Linked DNA regions of Alligator mississippiensis. The protein of the gene in region 1 binds, or shares a complex with, the protein of each later gene. Links are inferred from orthologs where the notes say so. Each region holds a gene or a part of one and is shown on either strand. Other genes may lie near its edges.

Region 1 (7,688 bases):
TGAGTATAACTATGACTATGGGGATGAAGCCCCAGCAGCTGATGCCCCCCTCCACGCTATCCACTGGTTTGATGCCCGGCGCCGGCGCCGGAGAGACGCAGCTGACCGCAGTCAAAGGGAGAAGGAGGTTCACTACACGATATGCATCCAGTGAGGACCCTCTACTTGGTGGTTGTGGTGGTGGGGAATTCCTGCCCCAGCTCTGTGCCTAGGGGTGGGACTTCCTTTTCTCTCTTCGAGGCGGGACTTCTTGCTTTGCATGTGCTCCAGAGGTGGGACTTCCTGTTTTACACTGCCTCAGGGGGTGGGACTTCCTTCTGCCTGCCTCTTTCGAACACAGGACTTCTGCTGGGGAGCGGTATTTCCTGTTGTGCACGTGCTCTGGGGATGGGTCTTCTAGCTACTATCTCACCCCATTGGCAGATGCAGCTCCCAGCCACAGTCCCCTTATTCCTTCCATGGCCTGTGCTGGGGTGAAAGGGGACTTCTTGTTACTTCTTTAGTCTATTGGGGAGGAGGTTGGACTTCCTGTAGCTTCCTTGGGGGTGGGGGGGGCAGGACTTCCTGCCATGTTCTCACTCTGCCTCTCCACCCCACATTGCAGGAGGAAGCCAGGGGCCCCGATCTCAGGCATGGCCATCGCTGACATCACCCTGCTCAGTGGCTTCCAGCCCCACACGGCTGATCTGGACAAGGTCAGGGGCCCTGATCCTTCCCTGTCCCCTCCCACCCACTGCACTTCTGATCAGCCCCCGGGGGGGACCCCTACCTCCTCTCCTCATGGGGGAGAAGAACAGGCATGTCTGTTCTTCCACGAGTCATCTGTATATCTGTCCATCCCCACAGCTGAAAGACCTGGTTGACCGCTACATCAGCCACTACGAGGTGCAGGGGCAGCGGCTCCTTCTCTACTTTGAGACGGTGAGCAGGGGAAGGGCAACTGTGGTTAGAGTTGTGGAGGGGTAAAGGCGTTGGGGAGCTCCAGGGGTATGGGGGAGGGTTTGGGGGGCAGAATGGGCATAGGAGCATCTTGGGGGTGGTGTCTGTCTGGCTGTAGCATGCCTTGCTCCCACCTAAAGTGTGATATGAAGGAGCTGCAGACCTTTCCCTTGTTTCACAACTAACGTTTTTGAGGCTGGATCCCCATTTCAGTGGCTTGTTTTCCAGGGGTAATGGCTTGAACATGCCACAATGTATCGCAGAATTAGCGCCTTAAGCATGAGATAAACATAGTGTTCGCATGCACCCTGGATGCCTAGGGCCTCTGGCAGTCATTGTGGGCTTTCCAGACACATTTGGGTCTTCTGCCAGTAAGAGCATGGGCATCTCCAGATGCCTAGGACCTCTGCCAATAGGTGTGGGCTTCCCTAAACACCTGGGTCCTTTGGCAGTAGGTGGGAGCATCCCTTTACATCTGGGTTCTTTGGTAGTGGGCATGTGCTCTGGGGGCCTCCATGTCAGTCATGAGGCTCTCCCCCCAACCCTGTGTTCACCCCTCTACTTCCAGGTGCCCGAGGTCCGAGACTGCGTGGGGTTCCGGGCACAGCAGACGGTGCCTGTGGGGATGCTCCAGCCTGCGGCTGCCACCCTCTATGACTTCTATGAGCCAGGTGGGGGCTGCAGTGGGGCAAGGGTGAAGGGGGACAGGCAGATGGGGTCTGGGAGAGCTTGGGTAGTGGGGGGGTGGAGGGGTCAGGGGAAGCTGGATGGAAGAGGAGCTGCCCCAGAGACCAGCCCATCCCCCCACTTCTTGCCCCCAGGCCGGCAGTGCAGCGTGTTCTACAACGCCCCCAGTAGGAGCAAGTTCATCTCAGCCCTCTGCTCCAATGATGTCTGCCAGTGTGCCGAAGGTGAGGAGACCCAAGTGTCTGGGCTCTCTGTACCCCCTTTCCTGTTCTAATCACCCCAGTCCCCATTCCCCTCTCACAACAGGGAGAGAACCCAGGTGTCTGGGCTCCCTGCGGTAACTCTCCAACCCTCATTTCCCTCCCACAGAGGGGAGAGAACCCAGGCAGCCTGACCCCCTCTACTCCAACCCCATGAGCCCTAACTCCTCCTGGAGTGGGCAGAGAACCCAGGTGTCCTGATCCCTTTCTCCCTCTCCCTACCAGGTGCCTGCTCCCGGAAGAAGCGAACGTTGGATGACAAAGTGACAGAGGCTGAACGCACTGAGTTTGCCTGCTACAGCCCCCGGGTGCAGTACGGTGAGATTGGACCCCTGAGGGGTGCCGGGAGGGGAGTGGGGGGAGGCCTGGAGGGAACCCTTGACCTCCAATACCTGCCCCACCCCCACACATGCACACACCAGGGATGTCCTAGAGACCCTCTCCCCATGGTCTCCGTGCCCCTCCCACCCCCAAGGTCAACAATTTAAGACATTGCTTTTTTTACTGCCAGACATATTTTTTTTACTGACACTGTAGTGGTTTTATGCCTGCTGGTTCCACTCCAGGGGTCCCCGACTCCTCCATACACCCTGACACCCCCAGCTGCACCCCCCCCCCCGATCACACCCAAGTATGCTCCTTGCCCCATGATCCAGCCCCTTCCACTCTCCTGCATTTCAGGAGAGGCTGGATCAGCCCTGATAGGCAGGCGGTGGCAGCTGCATGTGGCTGGGGCAAGTGGGGAAGGGAACAATGGCAGTTCCTTCAGAGCTGTATATTTATGGCTCCCTGAGGACCCCCCATCTCTCCTCCCCCATCCTGTACCCCCTACTTACCTCTCCCCCCACCCAACATCTTTTTGCGCCCTTCTCCAATTCCCAGAAGCCCCCCCCCCTCCCCCACTAACTCCTGCCTAAGCCAGTGGGGTAGTCCTAGTCCCGATCCCTGACCTTGACCCCTGCCCCCCCCCCCTCTTCCCCCCCAGGGTATGAGGTGCAGGTGCTGAGGGAGGAAGACCAGAGTGGCTTCCGGGCCTATGTGACGAAGGTGCTGGAGCCGCTGCAGTTCAGTGAGTGTGGGGCAATGGGGGGGACTCCAGGGTAGGGGGCTGGGAGGGTTGACTCCGTGGGATCTCTAGGGTGGGGACTCTGCAGGGGTGGCGGCAGCAGTGGGGTGACCCCAGGAGTTTGGGGGGCCTGTAGACGCTGGGGGCGAGAGGGGGGGGAGAGTGGCCCCATAAGGGGTGGGGAGTCCCAGGGGGCTGTGACTACAAACTTGAGGGGGGGGGCAAGGGGGTTGGGGTGACTGGGGGGGGGCAAGGGGGTTGGGGTGACTGAGGGGGGGCAAGGGGGTTGGGGTGACTGAGGGGGGGCAAGGGGGTTGGGGTGACTGAGGGGGGGGCAAGGGGGTTGGGGTGACTGAGGGGGGGGCAAGGGGGTTCCCCTGCCCCTGTCTGATGCCCCCTTCCCTCACAGCCGGTGACGTGGGAGTGCAGGTGGGCCAGAGCCGCTGGTTCCTGGTCCGTGCCTCCTGCCGCCTGCGCCTGGCGCCTGGGCGCCGCTACCTGCTTATGGGGCAGGATGGGGAGACCCGTGACGCCCAGGGCCAGTGAGTGCGGGGGGCAGGGCTGAGGACTTTGGTGAGGTGGGAGGCTTGGTGGGGTATACTGAGGGACTCCTGCACCTCGGGGACCTCCCATCACCCCTGTGACCCCACTGAGACCTCCGCAGCTCCCTTGATCCCGGTGCGACCCCTTTGTGATGCCGTGACCACCGTGCTCCTTCCGTGACCCCATTACCCTCCCCAAACCGTGGGATGTTTGGGGGGGCACCTGGGAGCGTAGGGGGCACTTAGCAAGGGGGTTTTGTGGAGGCAGAGTGTCCCAAGGGCGACCCTCGTGACTTCTCTCTGCGGGGCCGGAGCGGTCGGGGGGTCTTGGCAGGGTGGGCTGCGGGTCTTATGCCCCCCGTAGCCCCTCTGTGGCCTTGCTGTGACCCCTGCAACCTCCCCAGCCCGCATGCCTGGAGGTCTTGAGGGAGGGGACGCGGCGGGGGGCTCTGCGGGGTGTGCTGGGTGCGGGGCTGAGCGTGTCCTGCCCCCCGTGACCCCTGTGACCTGCCCCCAGGCTGCGGTACCTGCTGGAGGAGGGCTCGTGGGTGGAGGAGCTGCCGGACGACCGGCGCTGCGAGGCCACGGCCTATCGCAACCTCTGCGCCCAGCTCCGCGCCTTCAAGGAGGCGTACGGCCAGAACGGCTGCAAGGTCTGAGCCCCGCAGGGCCGGGCTCGCCTGCACCCCCCGGCCGGGATTGGATCAGGACCTGCTGGTGCCTGGATCGGGACCACCGGTGCCCCTGGCCCGGGGCTGCTGCACCCTCCCCGCTCGCGCCGGGCCCAGCCCCTCCCGCTGTGCAATAATAAACCCGGGTCCTGCCCCAGCCCTTGTCCTGGCTTGGTCTGGGGGGTCGCTCGGGTCCCGCGGGGGCTGCCGCGAGGGGGCAGGAGCTGTGGGGGTGCTGCGATGGGGCGGGGGGGGGGTTGTGCCTGCCCCATCCACCCCTGCCTCAAGCCCGCCGGGCCTGGGGGGCAGCCGCGCACGCGGGGTGGGGGCTGTGACTGGGGGTACGTGTGTGTGGGGGGGGTGTCGGGGTGTCAGTGTTGGGGGGTGTATGTGTGTGTGGCTGGGTGTGAGGGGGTGAGCGCGCGAATGAACGTCAGACTGCGAGGGGGCTTGAAAGCGGGAGCGTGTGCGCACGCGCGGGTGCTGCGCGCCCCCACAGGGCTCAGACACGCCCCGCCCCCAGGGGCGCCCCCCGCCCCCGGCTGCCAGTGGAAATCCGCAGGCCTCCCCGGGGGTCACCACAGAGATGAGGCCGCCGCGCGGCGCAGAGCGGGCCCCGTGGTGACGAGAAGGGGCGGACCATCGAGTCGGGGCCTCCACACAGCGCAGAACGGCTCCGCGGCCACCCTCCGCGGAAGCACCCGCCTCCTCCGGCTCGCCTGTATTCGAACCCCGCCGGAAGTGATGTAAGAGGGGGGCGGGGCCCGGCGGGAAGTTCGAATCTCGGCGGCCGCAGCACGGGTGGTTCCCTCCCCCCAGCGCGGGCGGGGCGCGAGCGAACCGGGCTGACGTCACGGAGAGGGGCGCGCGGGGGCCTCACGTCAGGAGCTAGGAGGTTGGGGGGGGCAAGGTGACGTCAGAAAGACATGGGGGCGGCGATGTCATGGGGCAGCCGGGTGACGCCAGAAGGATTGGCAGTGACGTCACTGCAATGCATAGGAAGGGTTGGGGGGCGTGGGTTCCTCCTGGGGCAAATATGGGGCTCCTGGGGGGAGCCGGCAGGCGTGGTCCCTTTCCCAGCTGTGGGAGGACAGTGGGGTCACAGCAAGGGATGCTGGGAGCTGAGCGCCGGGCTCTGTCCTGGCTCGGAGGAGGGGGCTGCCCCTGGACCCCGGGGTCCTCCCCTCTACCCCCCATCTCCCTTCCCCCGCAGGTGCCAACTGTGCCATGCCCAGGCCCCGCGCCCGCAAGACCACCCCCCGGCGCCGCCCCACTCGCCCCTCGCCCTCGCCCTCACCGCCACCCCCGCCCCCACCCCCACCCCGGCGCTCCCCCCGCCGCGCCCTGCCAGGTGAGTGTCCCCTCCCTGGGCTGCGGGGTATGTGCTCCCCCAGCCCCCCGCTAACGTCCCCGGTCGGGCCCTCAGGACCGCGGCGGCGCCGGTACCGCCCAGGGCAGCGAGCACTGCTGGAGATCCGCAAGTACCAGCGCAGCACGGACCTGCTCATCCGCCGCCTGCCCTTCGCCCGCGTGGTGCGTGTGTGCGCGCCCCCCCGGCATTGCCCCCACTCAGGACATTGTCTGTCTGACCCCCGCTTGAAGCCCTCTCTCCTCCCTGCAGGCCTATCTGACCCCCTCCCAAAGCCTCCTGCTCCTCCTGGTCTGTCTGATCAACACCCCCACATCCATCCCTCTCCTTCCTGTTTGATTTCCATCCTCCTGCCCCCTTCCTGGTCTATCTAACCCCCCCCCCCCCCAAACCCTGCCCCCCGCCAGCTTTTCTGACTCCCCTTCCCCCCCAGGTGCGGGAAATCTGCCTGAATTACACACGGGGGGTGGATTTCCACTGGCAGGCCATGGCCTTGCTGGCCCTGCAGGAGGTGAGTGTGGGGGCTGGCACCCCTGGGGCATGTCTGGGCCCTGGGGGGTGTGGAGGGCAGGGGAGGTGACTGGGGTCCGTGGGGGTGCCTGGGCAGGGGCGATGCTTGTGGCGGGTGCCCATGGACCGGCGGGGTATGTTGGGGTGTGTCTTTTCTGGGGGCAGGGCTATGTGGGGGGTGTCCAGGCAGGGGGCAGGGCTGCAGGGGTCTGTCTGGTTAGGGGGCAGGGCCACAGGCTGTTGCCTAGGCAGGGGGTGAGGCTTGGTGGGTTGTTTGTGTGTGGGGATTGGGCTAAATGTGGGACATCTGGGCAGGGGGTGGGGGGCAGGTATCCTGGCAGGGTTTTGTGCATTATCAGGGCAGGGGGCAGGGCCTCAGGGTGGGTTCTGTGCAGGGGGTGGAGCCACAGGTGGGGTCCAAGTAGGGGACAGAGCCTAGGTGGGGTGTGTCCAGGCTGGGAGCAGGGCTTTGCGGGTTGTCAGGGCAGGAGGCGGGGCCTCAGGGACCAGCCCCACCCCTGATGGCTGCCTCCCCTGTTGTGCCCCTTGCTAGGCGGCTGAGGCCTTCCTGGTGCACCTGCTGGAGGACTCGTACCTGTGCGCCATCCACGCCAAGCGTGTCACCCTCTTCCCCAAGGACATGCAGCTGGCCCGGCGCATCCGCGGTTTGCATGAGGGCCTGGGCTGACCTCTATGGCCCTCCAGCCAGGGCACCCCGTGGCACCCCACAGTTCCCCTGCCCTGCACTGTGTAGGGCAGGCAGCTGGGGGCTTTTAATTTGGACTAAGATGTTTCCTCCCCGCAAATCTACCCCAGGGCAGGGGGGTTTTGGAACCTTCCTGGTGCCCCCAGCCCTGTGTTTCTGCCCCCCCAACCCTGGGAGTGTCTGAGCTAGCCCCACTGGAGGGGCTCTGACCCCAGTGGGGAGTGCTGAGCCCTATGGGGAGGTCCTGAACCCCCTGTGGGGGAGAGGGACCATGGATCTCGGGGCCCTGACTTAGGCAGGGGGAGAGGAGATGGCAACAACGGCTGCTCCTGCTCCCCCTTGCCCCAGGCTCCCTAGTTGCCCCCTCCCCAGCTCTGTGCCCCATGGGATCCCTGCTTAACCCCTCCCCCCAAAGTTCCTTCTTCCATAGTTACCCGTGCCCTGGTCCCTCTTCTTCCCCATGATTTTAGCTGGGGGGTGGGGGGGTGCTTGGAGAGCTGTAGTCTTGGCGATGCATTGTTTTCTCTGCTAATTTCAGGCCAAATTAAAGCAATATTGGATTTTTCAAGTGGTGCTGGCTGTGGCAGAAATGCCAGCATCTGTCTGTCTCTCCAGAGACCTGTCTTGGTCAGCTTGGGACACTGGGGTCAAATTCCTAAAGGAGGGGGGATTTCCCTTCCTGCCTACATGACAGAAGCCTGGTTTGGAGGATGTGGGCTCTCTGGTCACCTGAGTGGGGGAGGGAAAAGCCCCTGCTCCTCTGCCCAGGTGACCAGTGATGATTTTTAAATCGGTTGGCGAGTTGCCAACACCGCTGGCTTCTCTTGGCCTGGGCTGCTGAGGTCAGAAAGGCAATACAGGGGCCTGGTCCAAGAAGAAGGGAGAAGCCATTTTTCCAGCATGGTCCAAACACCAGGACACAGGGAGAGAGTCTGATC
Region 2 (7,632 bases), on another chromosome or scaffold:
TAGGTCTCCACTGGAATACTCAGTGCATTTCTGGGCTCCACATTTTACGGAGGATATATATAAACTGGAAAGCATCCAAGGCAAATGACAATGACAGGAGATGGATATAAACTATACAAGGAAAGGCTGAGTGAACCGGGGAAGTGGTGGTTGCAGATGGAAGTGAAATTCTTGGGTTTTGGGGTGCTGTTTGGGGAATCCTGCCTGTGGGTCATTTGTTTATTGTAAGATGCTCTGAGCCTTTTGGATAAGAGAGACCTAATAAGTTAATAAATAAGAAGAGATTAAGAGGGGCACAATAGCATGCTAGCTCCCTCTAGCATACCTTCCTAGTATGCATCATTCTGATCATGCTCTGCAGTTGAGTTCTGCTGCCGCTGCATCCTTACAGCTAATTTTTGCTTTTAAATTTTATAAGACCTGGGTCTTTGCATTAGATTTGTAGTCTTATGGTCCCACAGCCCCCATTAAACTGTAATCTGTATTTGATTGGCAAGCAGGGTTATGTAATGCCAGACCTCTGGTGATTTCTCTACTACTCCTTTTCTTAGCAATGCAAGAGGGGAGCCATTGGACCATCAATTTCTAGTAGGCTGGCCAATACCTGGCTCTGATGTTAAGGCTTTGGTCAGATATTTTTTTTCTACAGTCTTCAACATTATTTGTTTTGCATCTTGGCTTGTGTAGCCATTAGATTTTGGTGCTTGAGGCAAATTCCTTCATGCCAAGTGGCAGTCATGATGAACACAGCATTGTCATTTTGTTTTCTGTACGCACTGCATCAAGATTTGACTTGACACCCTGCCATTGTGGCTATTTCCTCACAAGGCGTCATCTCTGTTCTTCCCCTAGTGTAGGCAGAGAAGTTTAGGAAAAACTAATGTGCAGCAAATGCAGTTGCATCATCATGCTCTAGCCCCATCAGTATAACTGCAGCATGGCATTTGCCAGCGGTCACCCCACAGCTGCTGGCTGAGACAGGAGTGCTGAAAACACCTTGCTGGCATCCCACCACCAGACTTGGGTGCAATTCAACCTTAGGCTGGTCTAAAATGCCTCCCTTGCAGCACAGGCTGGCAGGCAGCATTTCCTTGCCAAGAACTACTTTGGTGGATGAAGGGAAGGCCGTGGATAGTGTATCTGGACTTCAGCAAAGCTTTTGACAATGTCCTGCATGAACTTCTCAAAGAAACTGGAGAAATGTGTGTTGGACAAAACTACTAAAAGGTGGATAGATAATTGGCTCAGTAGCCACAAGCAGAGGGTAAATATTAACAAGCCTACTTCAGAAGGACAGGAGGTTCTAAGTGAAGCCCCACAGGGTCTGTCCTGGGCCTGGGTAGCAACTGCTAAGTGGTTCCAGAGGTAGTTAGTGGTGGGGCTGACAGTGCGCCCCAGATTAGGATTACGGATTATCACGCTGCATTTACGGTTAGAGCTAATGAGCCCTCAGGCTAGGGTTGGGGTAGCAGTTAGATTTAGGATTAGGGATGGAGCTGGAAGGGAACTGTGAAAAAGGCTTACGGCCGAGTAGTAGGGCTCTCTGGGCTCAGGTCTGGGTTGGAGTTTGGGCTAGAGACGTAATTGCTAGGGCTGGCAGAGTTTGAGTTAGGGGGTGGGTTGATACAGTCCTGCTGGCCATTCTTAGGTTTGTGACTAGTAAGGCTCTTTAAGAAAGCATTATGTTCAGACTGCAAGAGGTTGTCGTCCTGTGAGCTTCCAACCATTGAGATCCTTCCGACTCGCGCTCCTGTCCTCCAACACGTTTGCAACCTTTCCTAGTTTCATGCTGGCCACAAATGTGCTCAACAAGCTTTCTGTGACAGCCTTCAAATCACAAAGAATCTCAGCGGGTCAGAAAACTGAGCAGAAGCTCTCAGGGGGACATTCAACGCAGACAAGCTCAAGGTGATGCCTTGGAGAGCAGTCAGAAGCACAACCAGCATTGTCAGATCTTAAATATAAAGTTATCATATTGGAAGCTCAAAGCTTTTGTATTTACTGAAAAACTATTATGCACCAAAAGAATGTCCAAATAAGTATGAAATGATTATGCAAATACATCTTATTATTTCCTTCATATTGCCCACTGTAAGTCACCAGTGAGTGAGAAATGGGTCATCAAAGGTGAAGCGTTTCTGTACTTTGAGGCAGGCCATCATAAGAAAGTACTAACAGCAAACCCAAAAGTCAGTTAAGGCTCCCCGAGAGTGACTGGGGTTTTCCATCTGCTGCATCAACAAGCTGCCTCACGAATAACTACATTTTGAACACTTTTTCCTCTAACTGATCAGACAAGGCTTGAAACTATCGTACAAATACGATCATTGTCGTACACCTGGCAACACGGAACACAATTAAAGAGAGGCTGGAACAGCAGTACTGAGAGAACAGAGGGTGCGGGGTCCCAACAGGCTCAGTAGGAGTCAGATGCATCGAAGCGAAGGGGGCGGGGGGCGAAGTCACAGAAGCACTAGGGGCAAGAGCGGGCCGACAGCAAGGGCAAGACCAGTTCGACAAGGGGGGCAGGGCAGCGCTTCAGGGCCTTAACCCGCGCAGGCGCAGAGCGCAAGGGCCAACGGCGCCGCCCTCGAGCAAGTGCAGTCACGGCCCCCGCGCGCGGTTCACAACGTTGCACAGCCCCTCGGAGGCGCGAGGACCCGCGAGCCCCGTCCCCAACCGTCCTCCACGGCGTTTGAAATGGGGCGCCGCCTCAGGGTCCCCCGCCCCGGCCCCTGCTCTCACCAGCGCCTCTGCCATGTCGCCGACAGCCCTGTCGCCCAGCGCTGGTGCCGGGGCCGCCGCCTCTGAAGCCTGCGCGCCCGGCCGCTCGTTCGAAAACCCAGCGCTTTCCCACTGCGCATGCGCCTCTCCTCCAGGGGGCGGTGCGCAGAAGCCCATTGGCTGAGCGCGGGGCCGGAATGGCCTGTCACCAGAGCCGTTTCCCTAGCCAGCCGTCCGCTCAGCGGGGGGTGGGGGGGAGTGAGGAGGAGGGTGCGCATCCGCTAAGTCGTCCCCCCCTCTCTCCCGGCTGAGCAGAGAAGAGGAGAGGAGGGAGGAAGAGTCGCTTGTTGTCTCTGTGGAGCTGGGCGGGGTTTGGTTTGAGGGGGCTCTTGGGCTTCCGCAGCCTAGAGGTAAACTCCCATGCTCATTTGCATGCCTGCCTGTTCACGCCCACCCTACCCCCCCTTGCACTCCTGAGCACTCACACCAGCCCTCTGTACCTCCTTGGCATGCTCATGCCCAAATTCCCAGCACAGGGTTCCTCTGTGCAATTAACACGCAGCCCTCCCCGCATGGGCATCCTGGCACCGCGAGGCCCTCTCCTCTAGTCCTAAGTGCCCCCTGCTCCTGCACATTCACACGCTGCCCTCTGGCGTGCTTGCCCCGTGGCTGGGCACTTAGGCAGTTTCTAGGGCAAGCCAGTTCTTTTTGTGCTTGCCATCGCCTCATGCCCCCACGTGAGCCCCTCGTGTGTGCTTGCCTCCACAGGTCCGTGTTGCATGTGTCACTGGCTGAGCACTGGGCTGCTGAGGCATGATGGTGCATCTGTCAGGCCTTTGCTTTGAAGATGTGTCAAATGGAAACGATGGCAGGAAGCCATGCGTCAGGCCCAAGCTTCCTGGACCTGCAGCCAGTGCCAGATCATTTCAGTGATGGCCTCTTACAGAGCGGTTGTTGACTAGCATTGTGTCTGAGCCACCCCCTCACTCCTGGACTAATCATTCCCATGGTTTGTAGGACCCACAGATGGGTAAACAAGCCAAAAAGGTAGTGCGCCCCCTGTGTAAGATTCTTACTTGTGTGACTGAACAACTAGTATTTCAGCTCAGCAACCTGTGTTTTTTTTAACTGTTTTGTTCAGCATTTTTATACTACAAGAGCACCTACCCAGCCAGGCTTTTGTGGTGCTGGAAACGTTCAGCCTCATTTTTTAGGTGCCCACTAGAGCCTAATTTCTAGCCAGGTTGGACACAGTGGTTCGGTACAGACATTCAGAAAGCCTGAGGCAGAATCCATCTAAGTTACGCAGGTTTCTGTAAGTGGTGTATTTTAGACACCACACATTTGCCCTTTCATTGGGGAGGACAAATCTTAAACTGGGTTCCACCATTTTTAAACCGGTCTACATGTGCTGAACTGCTGTTCTGTTATGGCAGGTTTGGGCAAAATGCGACCCTTGGGCTGGATGTGGCCGCCAGGCCATTCTATCCGGCCCACAGGGCCCCTAAAAAACATAGAAAATTAATATTTATCTGCCCCTGGCTGCCTGTCATGTGGCTTTCAATGGCTTGCCCTCCACCCTAAATAATTGCCCACCCCTGTGTTACGGGTATAGACAAGTTTTGTGTGCTGAACTTCTGTTCTGTAATAAGTATAGCCCAGTTTCTGATCACTTATACCGTTAAAAGTGTAACATCTGTAGCTGGTGCTTACAATGGGTACGTTCAGTTGAGCAAAACTGTGGTATGTGATGCTGCAAATACATCTTCAGCACCACATACCTCACAGTTAGGTGTCCTCTGCACTGCAAGGGCACACTGCCTGTGTATGTGCTGCTCCGTATTTTGGTTTGTTTCTTTGGGGGGTTTTTGACCCCTAGATATCCAGGGGTCAAAAAAAAAAAAACTCATGGAAAAAAACAACAAAGCAGCGCGCACACAGGCAGCACACACCACTGAAAAGCAGAACCAGGGCTCCCGGAGCTGCACTTGGACTGCCAGCCAGGCTCTGCCTGGCAGGATCACCGCTGCTGCAGCCCTAGGAGGCCCCCAGGAGCCCAGGTAAGGCTACTGGGGCCAGCACTGTTCCAAGTAAGGCTGCTGGGGCCAACTCTACTGCCTCTGGGGTAATGTCACATCACATCATCAGTTTTGCTTGTCAACCAATGCCTACCATCTCTTGTCTTTAGTGTCACCCTCACAGATTCCTGTCCAGTATTCAAATGAAATGTAATTTCTTTTGAAATGAAAACTTCATAATTTTACAAGAATGAAGGAAATTCACCACCTGAACCTAAAAGCTGACACCCTGGCTCCTGCCCATTGTTCCAGCAAAATCTACATATTCACAGAGCTCAAGCTGCCTCAGCACAAGAGAATTTCCTGCCCCGGAGAAGTTTCCATCACCTCAGGTTCCTGTGAAATATGAAATATCATAACCAGAAGGAAACATAATTCAGCAAAGGAGGCAAGAGGGCGCAAAGGCCCCCCTTGCTCACCAAAAGCATCCGGGAACGTCTTCAAACAAAAAAGGAGGCGTACACCTGTTGGAAGGGAGGGGCCATCACAAGAGAGGGCTATACCTCGGTAGCTTGGGAATGTAGGGGGGCAGTCAGGAAGGCCAAGGCGGAAGTGGAGCTGGGACTAGTGACCCAGATCAAGGACAACAAGAAATCCTTTTTCAAATACATAAGGGGGCAAAAGAAGGTGCCAAGGAATGTGGGGCCTCTGCAGGACACGCTAGGAAATCTGGTCATCTCACCTGACAGTAAAGCTGACATATTCAACAATTTCTTTGCCTCCATATTTCTGAGGAGGGACCCGGATATCTCCTCCACTGCTCCCCCACCCCACCCCCTGAGGGCCCCATGGGTGGCACACCCAGGCCCAGGGTTAATGAGGACCTTGTCAGGGAACTTCTGGAGGGACTAGATGTATTTAAATCCACAGGTCCTGATGATCTCCACCCCACAGTGCTGAAGGAACTAGCAGGGGTCGTTGCGGGACCCCTGGCACAGCTCTATGAGCACTCATGGCGCTCGGGCAATGTGCCAGAGGACTGGAAAAGGGCCAATGTGGTCCCCATCTTCAAAAAAGGGAGGAAGGAGGACCCAGGAAACTATAGGCCTGTGAGTCTTACCTCGGTCCTGGGGAAGTTTTTCGAAAGAATTATCCTGGCACCTGTCCAGGAAGGCCAGCAGGGGAGGTTATGCTCAGGGGCAACCAGCATGGGTTCATTAGGGGCAGTCTTGTCAAACCAACCTGGTGGCCTTCTATGACCAGGTCACCAAGTCCTTGGATGCAGGTGTCGCAGTGTATATATTCTTTCTGGACTTCAGGAAGGCCTTCGACACGGTCTCTCACCCCATTCTCAGTAAGAAACTAGGAGACAGTGGTGTTGATGCCTACACAGTCAGATGGGTCACTGGCTGGAGGGCTGCACCCAGGGGGTGATGGTGGACAGGTCTTATTCGACCTGGAGGGATGTGGGCAGTGGGGTTCCCCAGGGCTCGGTCCTTGGACCCACACTATTCAACATCTTCATCAGTGGCTTGGGCAAGGGGGTAGAAAGCACCCTGTTCAAATTCGCAGATGACACTAAGATGTGGAGTGAAGTGGGTACGCTAGTAGGAAGAAATAGGCTGCAAGCAGATCTAGACAGGTTACAGGGGTCGGCCGATGAGAACAGGATGGGGTTCAACACTGAGAAGTACAGGGTGATGCACCTGGGGAGGAAGAACCAGCAGCACACCTACAGGCTGGGGAACTCCCTTCTCACCAGTGTCAAGACAGAAAAGGATCTTGGAGTCATCATTGATGCCACAATGAACATGGGCCAACAAAGTGGGGACGCGGTCAGGAAGGCCAACCATACCTTGTTGTGCATCCAAAGATGCATCTCAAGCAGGTCCAAGGAGGTGATCCTCCCCCTCTATGCAACGCTGGTCAGGCCGCAGCTGGAGTACTGCGTCCAGTTCTGGGCGCCGCACTTCAGGAGGGATGTGGCCAATATGGAGAGGGTCCAAAGGAGGGCCACCCGCATGATCAGGGGTCAGCAGGGCAGGCCCTACAAGGAGAGGCTGAGGGACCTGAACCTGTTCAGCCTCCACAAGAGAAGGCTGAGAGGGGATCAAGTGGCAGTCTACAAACTAGTCAAGGGGGACCAGCAGGCATTGGGAGAGTTCCTGTTCCTCCGAGCAATCCCGGGAGTTGCAAGAAACAACGGACACAAGGTAGCAGAGGGTAGTTTCAGGCTAGACATTAGGAAGCGCTATATCACTGTCAGGGCGGCTAGGACCTGGAACCAACTTCCAAAAGAAGTGGTGCTGGCTCCTACCCTGGGGGTCTTTAGAAGGAGGCTGGACGAACATCTGGCTGGGGTCGTTTGACCCCAGTACTCTTTCGTGCCACGGCAGGGGGTCGGACTAGATGATCTCCTCAGGTCCCTTCCAACCCTACCTACTATGAAACTATGAAACATCCTACTTGACACCAGACAACATCAAGCTAAATAGACTGTTCTAAGTTTTCTCTAAGCCCGTGAACACCGTGTGCCCCCGAAGGCTGGGGGGGCACAGCGGGCTCCTGCAGGCAGCGGTGGCACTGTCAGCAGTGGAAGCATGGTGGAAGCAAATGGGAAGCTCCCACAGGTGGCCACAGCAGCGGTGGTTGGGGTGGTGGTGAGTGCTGGCCCATGGTCAGCGACCACCTGCAGAAGCAGCCGGCAGCAGGCAGCAGCAATCATGGACCGCCTGCAGACGCTACCGCCAGCAGCGGGGTGTGGGTGAGCGGTGACTGCCCGCAGGCACCACCAGCAGTGTTGATGGCACCTTTTTGCAAGGGGTGCACTGCCACCAGGGGGTGCACATCGCCAATGTCTCAGCCTAATTTGCACAAAATGAACTAATCA

Evidence for each region. Proteins that work in one complex are often made in the same cells at the same time.
Region 2: CENPA (region 1) and CENPC share a complex: the UniProt entries of both Homo sapiens proteins name them as parts of the CENPA-NAC complex. The link is inferred for Alligator mississippiensis from reciprocal best matches to the Homo sapiens genes CENPA and CENPC.

The regions. Positions count from the first base shown.
Region 1 is NC_081834.1:62,718,301-62,725,988, forward strand, and holds CENPA (histone H3-like centromeric protein A), read left to right. Parts: upstream 1-4,678; 5' UTR 4,679-4,911; intron 4,912-4,921; exon of another isoform or gene 4,922-5,075; intron 5,076-5,378; 5' UTR 5,379-5,392; coding exon 5,393-5,516; intron 5,517-5,591; coding exon 5,592-5,698; intron 5,699-5,967; coding exon 5,968-6,045; intron 6,046-6,597; coding exon 6,598-6,732; 3' UTR 6,733-7,318; downstream 7,319-7,688. Other genes in the region: complement C4, read left to right, coding at 1-150, 605-695, 847-921, 1,508-1,610, 1,761-1,850, 2,112-2,204, 2,872-2,955, 3,362-3,494 and 1 more. UniProt on the Homo sapiens protein: Histone H3-like nucleosomal protein that is specifically found in centromeric nucleosomes. Replaces conventional H3 in the nucleosome core of centromeric chromatin that serves as an assembly site for the inner kinetochore.
Region 2 is NC_081825.1:133,224,119-133,231,750, reverse strand, and holds the start of CENPC (centromere protein C), read right to left. Parts: upstream 3,003-7,632; coding exon 2,746-3,002; intron 1-2,745. UniProt on the Homo sapiens protein: Component of the CENPA-NAC (nucleosome-associated) complex, a complex that plays a central role in assembly of kinetochore proteins, mitotic progression and chromosome segregation.